2 linked regions of the Cricetulus griseus genome follow. Each later gene encodes a partner of the first gene's protein in a complex. Links are inferred from orthologs where the notes say so. Each region holds a gene or a part of one and is shown in the gene's direction. Other genes may lie near its edges. The genes, in order: CUNH19orf57 and Hsf2bp.

What was found.
Region 2: the proteins of CUNH19orf57 (region 1) and Hsf2bp are in contact, whole or in part, in a crystal structure (PDB 7Z8Z), measured with the Mus musculus proteins. The link is inferred for Cricetulus griseus from reciprocal best matches to the Homo sapiens genes BRME1 and HSF2BP. Residues at the interface, in NP_083321.2 of Mus musculus: Met541, Gln542, Asp543, Ala544, Thr545, Val548, Arg549, Leu551, Val552, Leu555, Ser556, Asn559, Ile562, Met563, Thr565, His566, Leu569, Lys573; in NP_083178.1 of Mus musculus: Glu23, Phe24, Val25, Lys26, Val27, Arg28, Asp31, Leu32, Arg34, Leu35, Glu38, Val39, Gln41, Ile42, Phe45, Leu46, Arg48, Ile49, Glu53, Leu54.

Annotation. Positions count from the first base shown.
Region 1 is NC_048596.1:160,269,796-160,274,109, reverse strand, and holds the start of CUNH19orf57 (uncharacterized protein C19orf57 homolog), read left to right. Parts: upstream 1-1,330; 5' UTR 1,331-2,027; coding exon 2,028-2,154; intron 2,155-2,372; coding exon 2,373-2,405; intron 2,406-4,314. Other genes in the region: Cc2d1a (coiled-coil and C2 domain-containing protein 1A), read right to left, coding at 953-1,012. UniProt on the Homo sapiens protein: Meiotic recombination factor component of recombination bridges involved in meiotic double-strand break repair.
Region 2 is NW_023276806.1:260,329,221-260,333,636, reverse strand, and holds the start of Hsf2bp (heat shock factor 2-binding protein), read left to right. Parts: upstream 1-1,346; 5' UTR 1,347-1,457; intron 1,458-1,485; exon of another isoform or gene 1,486-1,978; intron 1,979-3,389; 5' UTR 3,390-3,600; coding exon 3,601-3,666; intron 3,667-4,416. Other genes in the region: Rrp1b (ribosomal RNA processing protein 1 homolog B), read right to left, coding at 1,142-1,271. UniProt on the Homo sapiens protein: Meiotic recombination factor component of recombination bridges involved in meiotic double-strand break repair.

The DNA of each region.
Region 1 (4,314 bases):
ACCCTAACCCTACCATGTGTAAAGCCCTGGGTTCCATCCCCAGCATAGCAAGGAAAAAAATTTAAAAATGAAAGCCCTGACAACAACGTCTAAATTAAAAATGGATCTTTTCTGTAGCCCTGTCCTCCTGTTTTGGCTAATGACCAGTAGAATATGATGAGTTACATGAAATTACCCTTTCTGTGGGTCCAAATTGGTCAAATACTAGCAATTATGCATGGCTTTACCTACTGGGAATAATAATTGCACACTATGTTCTAGCATTTTTCATAAACAATCTCAATAAGTCTTTGCAACTGTCCTGCCATTTAGGGACTCTTCCAGGCCTCCATTCCACAGGTGGGAAAACTGAGGTTCAGAGCTACAAATACATCTGTCAAATGTACCAAGGGCAGGAGGGAACCTGTAGTCAGGAAGACTCAGACCTGAGCCTGAGCTAGGCCCTAGGCTCCCTGGTTCAAAGCTGAGACAAATCAAACTCCCACAGGCTCTGGATTTGGGAGTGTGGCTCTGGGCCACAGTCTTGTACACCTCTGAACTGACATTTCTGTCTGGCCAGGCTGTTCGATCTTATGACCTTGGTTAAAGGTCTTCGTCTCCCTGAGCCTCAGTGTCCTCATCAATACAATGGGAGTAAAGAGTGTGGCCTGGCCCAGTTGATGCAAAGGCTGGAAAAGCTGGTCTGATGGCTGCCTCTGCTCGGCTGGAACTGCTGCAGCAACAGGTGTTACCCAAAACCTGGGTGGGGAGCCAGAAGCTGCATGGCTCAGGCCAGTAGGCCCTACAGTCGGAGCAAGCCTCACCTGGGGGGCGGGGACTTGGGTTCACTTGTTAGCGAGGATCAGGCTTTTCTGGGGGTAGGGCACGCCCCTCGAGTGTGAGGAAGGGTGGGGACAGACCCTGAGGAAGGGTGCGGAGAGACCCCTAGGTGGGCAGAGTGGCGCACACTCACCTGGCGGGCGGTGACAGCGCCTCGGCCCGGGGGTGCCGGGGGTCCATTCCTCTTGTGCATCTTCCAGGGTCGAAGCCTGGACTATCAGCCCTGGCACCTTGGTCTTACTCTGCCTCTTCCCCGAAGCCGGGTTTCTGAGCTCGCTGTGCTCCTGAGCCCCGAGTCCCTCCTCCGTGCCCGGCCCCCGGAATTTTCGAGTTTTGGCCACCCTGCTTCCGCCTTGGCCTTCGGGAGCGCGGCCACAGGATTCGCGGGATCTCTAACTAAACTACAACTCCCTGCAGCCAGTGCGTGAACGCGCATGCGCTTGACATGAGGCGGCGCGGGGAGGAGGCGAAGCATGCGTAAGGCGCGGCACCGGTACTGCGCTGCGTGGGGCGGAGCCTCGCGGGCGGGAAAGGGGTAGGGGTTGCAGGTGTGAGGGCGCGGCGGAGTGACAGCTAGAGGGTCGTGGCGCCTCACGCTTTGTGGAGGTGTGGGGGTGTTACTGCTGTCGCTCACTGTGAGGCAGGTCGCCAGGAGTGTCGGGTCCACGGTGCCAGGCCTCAGGCCCTCGCGTCCCCAGCACCAGTCGGCCACGCGGTCCCATGACTGCCGATGTGGTCATTTTCTCAAAACCTCACACAAGTAATTTAGGAGATTTATTCCCCATCGGATCCCAGCTGACCTCGTCCCTACTAAGGACAGAGCGACTTCCATCTCTGCTGTGGCCCAGGTTGGTTCTGGCTTGCCTGGTTCCACAGCCCGAAGACATTGGCCAGAAGCGACTCCTGCCCCGGGTGGCCCTGCTAAAGCCTTCTGTGACTTTGGTGGGTCTCCAGTGGCCTCTCAAAAGCCTCCAAGTACCCCACATCCCATATACATGAGCTTTGGCGGGCACCATGGGGGTGGGGGTGAAGCATAGTTGTCTCCAACCCAGAGACTAGAGTAAGGATCCTGAGGAGAACCAAAGATAGTTCCTTCACACAGGGAAGGGGTGTGAATTCCTACCCCGCCGTGGCCCTAGATGACTATGATCTGGCATCCCACCCAGTGTCCTCTTGGAGACTAGCTGACTCCCCCATCAGGCTGCCAGATGGGCCCAGTGGAAGAGGGAAACATGGGGACATACAGTGCTGGCGATAGCTGGAGAGTTTGTTTGTTGTTTTCAGATTTCTCAGGGAAAGATAAAATGAATAAGAAGAAGCAGCAGCGGGACTCAGGTATTTGGTTTGTTAAAATTAGCTTTTTTATTATTATTATTGTCTTATTTGCTTTTTTTTTTTGGCACAGCTTTCTTTGTGTAGCCCCCTGGAACTGGCTCTGTAGACCAGGTTGGCCTAATATTCACAGAGATCCTCTTGCCTTTACTTTCACTGTCTGGTGTGCCACTACCATCTGGCTTCAAATTGGCTTTTTAATATTCACTTATTTATTTGAGGTACCGGGCCTGGAACACTGGGTCTCCTGCATGGTAAGTACTCCACCATGAAACTACATCTCCATCCAAAGTTGACCATTTATTTTTGTGGTTGGTATGTGTTTTTGAAATGGGAGTGTATTTTTGCCATGCATGCTGACTAGTTTTATGTCGGTTGGACACAAGCTAGAGTCATTTGGGAAAAGGGACTCTCAATTGAAAAAATGCTTCCAAAAAGTTTTCTTGATTAATGATGGATGTGGGTTGGCCCTCCTCACTGGGGGCGTGCTGCTTGGGGGCAAGTCCTGAGTTATTTAAGAAAGCCAGCAGGTAACTTTCCTCTATAGCCAGTGCTTCAGTTCCTGCCTCCAAGTTCTAGCCCTGACTCCCTTGGACTATGATGTAAAAGTGTAAGTGAAATAAACCCTTTCTTCCTCGACTTTGCTTTTGGTCATAATGTTTTATCACAGTGATAGAAATCCTGACATCATGTAGCCCAGGCTGGCTTTGAATTTGTTATCTATCTTGCTGCCTCAGCTTTCCAAGTGCTGAGATGATAGGCCTGTTCACCAAGCTCAGGTGTTCTGATGTTTTACAAATACACAGGATCTCACTATGGGGTTACAAAGGTGGCTCAGTAAAATGCTTGCCAAACAAGCATGAGGACCTGAGCCAATCTCTAGACTCATCTTTAAAAGGCCAGAGGCATGGTGACCCATGCTTGCAATCTCAGTGACTTGCTGGCCAACTAGTCTAGCCAGGCAAGTTCCATGTCAGTGAGAGACCTTCATAAAACAAGGTGGAAGCTGAGGATATGGCTCAGTGATTAAAGAGCTTGCTGTGTGAGCAAGAAGACCTGAGTTTGGATTCCGAACACTCACATAAAAGCTGGATGTAATGTGCATATCTATAACCCCAGCGCTAGAGGGGAAGTGGAGACAACTAATCTAGATACAACGGGGAACTCTAGGTTCAGTGAGAAATATTATTGCAAAAAATAAGATGTAGGGCTGGAGAGATGGCTCAGAAGTTAATATCACTAGCTGCTTTTCCAGAGGTCCCAAGTTCAATTGCCAGAACCCACATGGAAGCTCACAGCCAATTGTATGTTACTCCAGGTCCACACCCTCTCCCAGCTTCCAAGAGCATGCATGTGGCACATAGACATACATGCATGCAAAATACCCAAATAAGCAAAATTTTAAAATTTTAGAAGATACAGATAAAGGAAGATGCCTAGTATTGACATCTGACGTCCACATACTCACTCACACTCAGGCAAGAGCACTGGCTTACACATGCAGGTGAACACATACACATACACCAAGGAAAAAGGCTCTTGAAGAATGACCAGTGGCATTGTGTTCTGACCTGTACACCTGTACTCCCTCCCACACACTATCTGGCTAAGTCTGGCCCTGACCTCTGGGCTCAGGTGACTCTCCTACCTTAGCTTCCCAAGTAGCTGGAACCACTCACCCAGCTCTCAGTAGCACTTAATTGTTGGTTTTCACCAGAATGATAATATGACAGCCCAAAACTAAAAGATAGGGAAATTTTAGTACAGGCTAGTAATTAACAGAAATTATGGAGGATTTATAGTAAAAAGTGGAAGTTTCCCACTATTTCCCCTAGCCACTGGTCTTAAGGCTAGGGGACCAGGAGTTCTTTCCCACTTCAGGGTTCAGGACAGAAGTATAGCCAGCTCAGGGGCTAATGCCAGATCAGCTGGTGTGTGACTATTTCTAGTCTAGATTTTTAAAAATCGGGTTGGGCTAGGCATCGGTGGTGGTGTATACCTTTAATCCCAGCTCTTCAGAGGCAGAGGCAGGCAGATCTCTGTGAATTAGGAGGCCAGCCTGGTCTACAGATCGAGTTCCAGGACAGGCTCCAAAGCTACACAGGAAACCCTGTTTCAGACAAACAAACAAAAAACCTCTGGTTGTTTGAGCTCTGTCCATTT
Region 2 (4,416 bases), on another chromosome or scaffold:
AGGTTTAGGAACTACCAGCACAAGTATTAAGGAAACTTGTAAACCTGAGAGTAAACCGAATTTCCTGGGGCAATCCTTAACAGAAACATTATGGGGGTGGGGAGGGATTGCAGCTGCCAAGTCGGCTCAGTAGATAATAGCATTTGGTTCATAAGCCTGTCTACCTGAATCTGACCTCTGGATTCCAGGGTGGAACGGCACACATGTAATAATTAAAAAAAAAATTATTTTAGTTTTTATTCCTCTATCAGACTTCCCACAAAAGGTTCTCTCTTCCTTTTTTAGAGATAAGATCTTACTTGTCCTGTGGCCATGTCTGCCTTCAGCCTCCCAAGTGCAGGAATTAATGGTGTGAGCTACCACATGGGGCAGATTTCAATTAAAGAAAACTTTCTTAGATTTGTTTTAGGTGTATGTGCACCACGTGCATGCCTGGTGTCAGCAGAGGTCAGAAGGGGGCGACTCCTCTCCACTGGTTGTGAGCTGCCATGTGGGTACTGGGACTCAAACCGCTGAGCCATTTTTCCAGTTCCCCATATTTCAATTTTAAGCAGATGTCTGGCTGCAACCTGAAACCTCCACAGCACGCTGCAGTCCAGACTCTGGATCGCTTAAGTAAAAATCTTGCAAAGCACTCCACGGCAGTTTAAAATCCAAAGGAGAAAGCCAGTGATCTGGTCACATTGCCTCCAGGCTCAACTTCATCTCAACACGCCCCGCGCGCCAACTTTTGGGTTTCTCTGGCCTAGGGCACCCTTAGCTCTTTCCTGCGTCTGCCTGGCTGGCTTCCTCCTTTCAAAGCCTCACAGTGCACAAGAGGCTTCCTTTGGAGAGACTTTCTCCTGCACTTTTCCACACTACTGGCATAACACACATCCTCCACCGCCACAGGTCCTGCCACCACACTGCCAGAGTTCCTCCGGGGCTGGAACACAGCCTCAACTCTCTCCCGCACACCAGCGCCTGCAGGCGCTGTGCAAGGGAAGCAAACGAGAAACGCAACCGGGCCTCGGCGAGCTGGGCTAGTGCTGAGCTTGGACCCGGAGCTCCCGCCGCAGCAGCCGCACAGCCCGCGGCAGCCGCACCCGCACCCACAGGCGCGACCCTCGCCGAGCGCAGCGACGCGGACCCCGGCCCGCACCTGTGTCGCTCTGCGTCCTCGCGCTGAGATACTGCCGCAGCTTCCTCACTGCGCGGTCGCGGACACCCTTCTCGCTGGAGGCCAGCCGCTGGGCGAACTGGAGCTCGGCCGACTGCATGGCGGGAGCCATCGCGCCCGCTCCAGCATCCCCGGGGGCCGCGCGCGTGCGGCTCGCCCGCCGAGCAGGCTGTATACTGCGCCTGCGCACGGGCCGCGGCGCGCGGGGTGATGGCGTCAGAGGCGCGCCCGCTGTGCCGCGCCCGGCGAGCCCGCGTGGCCGTGGCGCGAGTAGACGCTGCCGCCGCGTCCTGCCTAAGTACGTCCTGGGGGGGCGGTGGGTGGTCCGAGTTCAGTGCGGTTGGCGTCGGGGTTAGCTGGGGTCGGATTTCCTCCAGGAAGACGCCTACGGCTGGATTGACGCGGTCTCGAGTCTAAGCGCAGCTGACAAGGCTGGGTCCGGGGGGGAAACGGCGCTGCAACGGCCCCCGCTCACCCGGTGTCTGCAGAACTCGGCGGGCTCTCCTGGGTGGAAGTGAGACCCAGAGGAAAGGGCGTCATCCAGGCTGCCCGGGTCTGATGACTACCCGGGGCCGCGCTCCCCCGCCTCCACTTCCCCTCAGCGTAATGCCTGGATGCAGGCGCAGCGTTGGTTAGAGCGAATGGTCGCCTCCCGTCGGTGCCCGCGACAGACAGGGGCAGGGGTGGCGAGGAGACCTTGCCGTGTTCTGGGACAGGTGCGGGGCTTGGCGAGGAAGAACAGCCCATCCCTGCAGCATCAAGGGCACATACAGGGGTGTGGCGTGGAGACAGCGATCCATTCCTGGGACAGTTCAGGGGGTATGGAGTGGCAAGAGAGCAAAGCGTCTTGGGGCAATTGCAGGCTTGTTAAATGGGGAGTTGCCAAAATCCAAAGCCAGAGCGTCTGGGTTAGGTGCAGGGATGTCCCCCCTCGCCCCCCCACACACAATAGAGGGGAATGACCTGTCCTGGCAGCAAGCAGGGGGAAGATTTGGGAATCTAACGGGCCCGGAGGGAACTTGACTCTGTCCTTAAGTCATGCAAAACACACAGTTCTGAGCCGTGGTGTCTTGGGGTCTCTATTGCTACAGTGAAACACCATGACTAAAATGCAAGTTGCAGAGGAAAGGGTTTATTTGGCTTACACTTCCATATTATTGTTCATCGAAGGAAGTCAGGACAAGAACTCAAACAAGGCAGGAAACTGGAGGTAGGAGCTGATGTAGAGGGCATGGAAGGGGTGCTGCGTACTGGATTGCTCACCATGGTTTGGCTAGCCTGCAGGACCACCAGTCCAGGGATAGGACCACCCACAATAGGCTGGGTCCTCCCCCATCAATCACTAATTAAGAAAATGCCTTATAGCCCGCTGGTGATGGCAGATGCAGGAGGATCTCTGTGAGTCCGAGGCCAGCCTGCTCTACAGAGTGAGTTCAAGGAGAGCCAGGGCTACACAGAGAAATCCTGTTTTGAAAACAACAACAACAAAATCCCTTACAGGTCTGCCTACAGCCTGATTTTATGGAGACATTTTCTTAATTTCTTATTATTTTTTTAATTTGTTTTTTCAAGACAGGATCTATCTGTGTAGCCCTGGATGTCCTGGAACTTTCTCTGTAGACCAGGCTGGCCTCGAACCTGGAGACCCACCTGCCTCTGCCTCCCAAGTGCTGGGAGACATATTCTTAATTGAGGGTCCCTCCTCTCAGATGACGTTAGCTTGTGTCAAGTGGACATAAAACCACTCAGCACAAGTGGGAACATACTAATCCCACAAGAAACAAGTCTTAACAATTGTGCTAACTTTAGGGACACCAAAGCCCTAGGTTATCAAACATACTCTGTGGATTCATTAGCACGTTGGGGGAATTATTAGATTAGGATATCCTTCCAAACTTTGGTTATTTAATTTGGATTTCCCTCCATGTAGCCCAGGCTAGACTCTCCCTTGCTATGTAGCAAGGCTGGTCTTGAACTCCTTCCACACCCAAGTGCTGGAATTACAGGCGTGTTCCACTACACCCAGATTCAAACTTTGGTTATTGCATACTTCATTTACCTGGCCTTATGGATACGAAAACGTATCCCTCAACACAGAAGCGCTCTGGGCCAAGGGAGGATGTTCTGCGTCGTTTCTCATAAAGAGGGTGTGGATTTGGCTGTAGCATGCTCCCTTTAAACAGGAAAGGACAGATTCTGCTTATTTTGACACCCTGGCCCCATTTTGCAGGTGACGAAATTAAAACAACTGAAGCAGAAGAGCTGCAGCAGAGTCGGGTCAATCTTATGTTTGGACCCAGAGCTCCGGAGAGTACAGCGCAAGCTTGGCGATATTTGAACCTCGCGGCTTCCCGTCTGGTCCCAGCATCTTCCAGTTCCCGCGCTTTCTGACCACTCAGTGAGCTCCACGCAGGCGCACGAAGCAGCGGCCGGCCGCAACCATGGCCACAACCCGGGGCGAGGCGGCTGCACTAGGCGAGGGATCCGGTACTGAGGAGGCCTTCCGGGTCAGTGAGATGGTCCGGTGTCTTGCACATGGGAGCTGCTGACTCTCGCTCCCCTCAGCGCGGGTCCAGAGCCTGAGGAGACGCCCCCGTGGCTGTGAGGTGGCCCAGGGCGGGAGACTCGAGGCCCCGCGGAGCCTGAGCCCTCTGAAGGCCCTCGGTCAAGTTGAAAAGTGGTGGCCTAGGTCTCAGACAGTGAGGGTTTTGGGGGAACCAGAGCCGTGAGTGAGCTCAGTCATCCGGGTTCTGCCCTTGGGCCTCCTCGAGGCCTACTTCCGGTGTGACGCCATTGGTGAATGTTAGGGGTTGCCCGGAGCCCCCCACAGGGTCTCTTCCTGGAGCCCTTCAGCCTTGGGCACATTAAATTGCAGGCGTTTTCTTTGGCTTTTAGGCTCAGCTGTGCGGCTTTTATTGCCCCTTAAGTATTTACACTCCCTCTAACGCTGGCTGTGTTCCTACCGAGTCAGAGCCTTGGCACGCTGCTCACGGCTGGCTTCCAACTCCTGGGGAAAGTCATCTTTCAGCCTCAGTTTCTTGAAAAGCTAGGAATATAGGTGTGCATTACCACTGGTCTCTCTCTGTATATGTGCTCACACTCACAGACACACACACACACACCCATATACATGCAACAGAAGGTGTCAGGTACCGGGGGTAATGCAATAGGCCTATAACCCCATTACTAGGGAGGCAGGGGCAGGGGCAGACACACAGTTTAAAGTTAAGTCCAGCATAGTCTACATAGTTACAAAA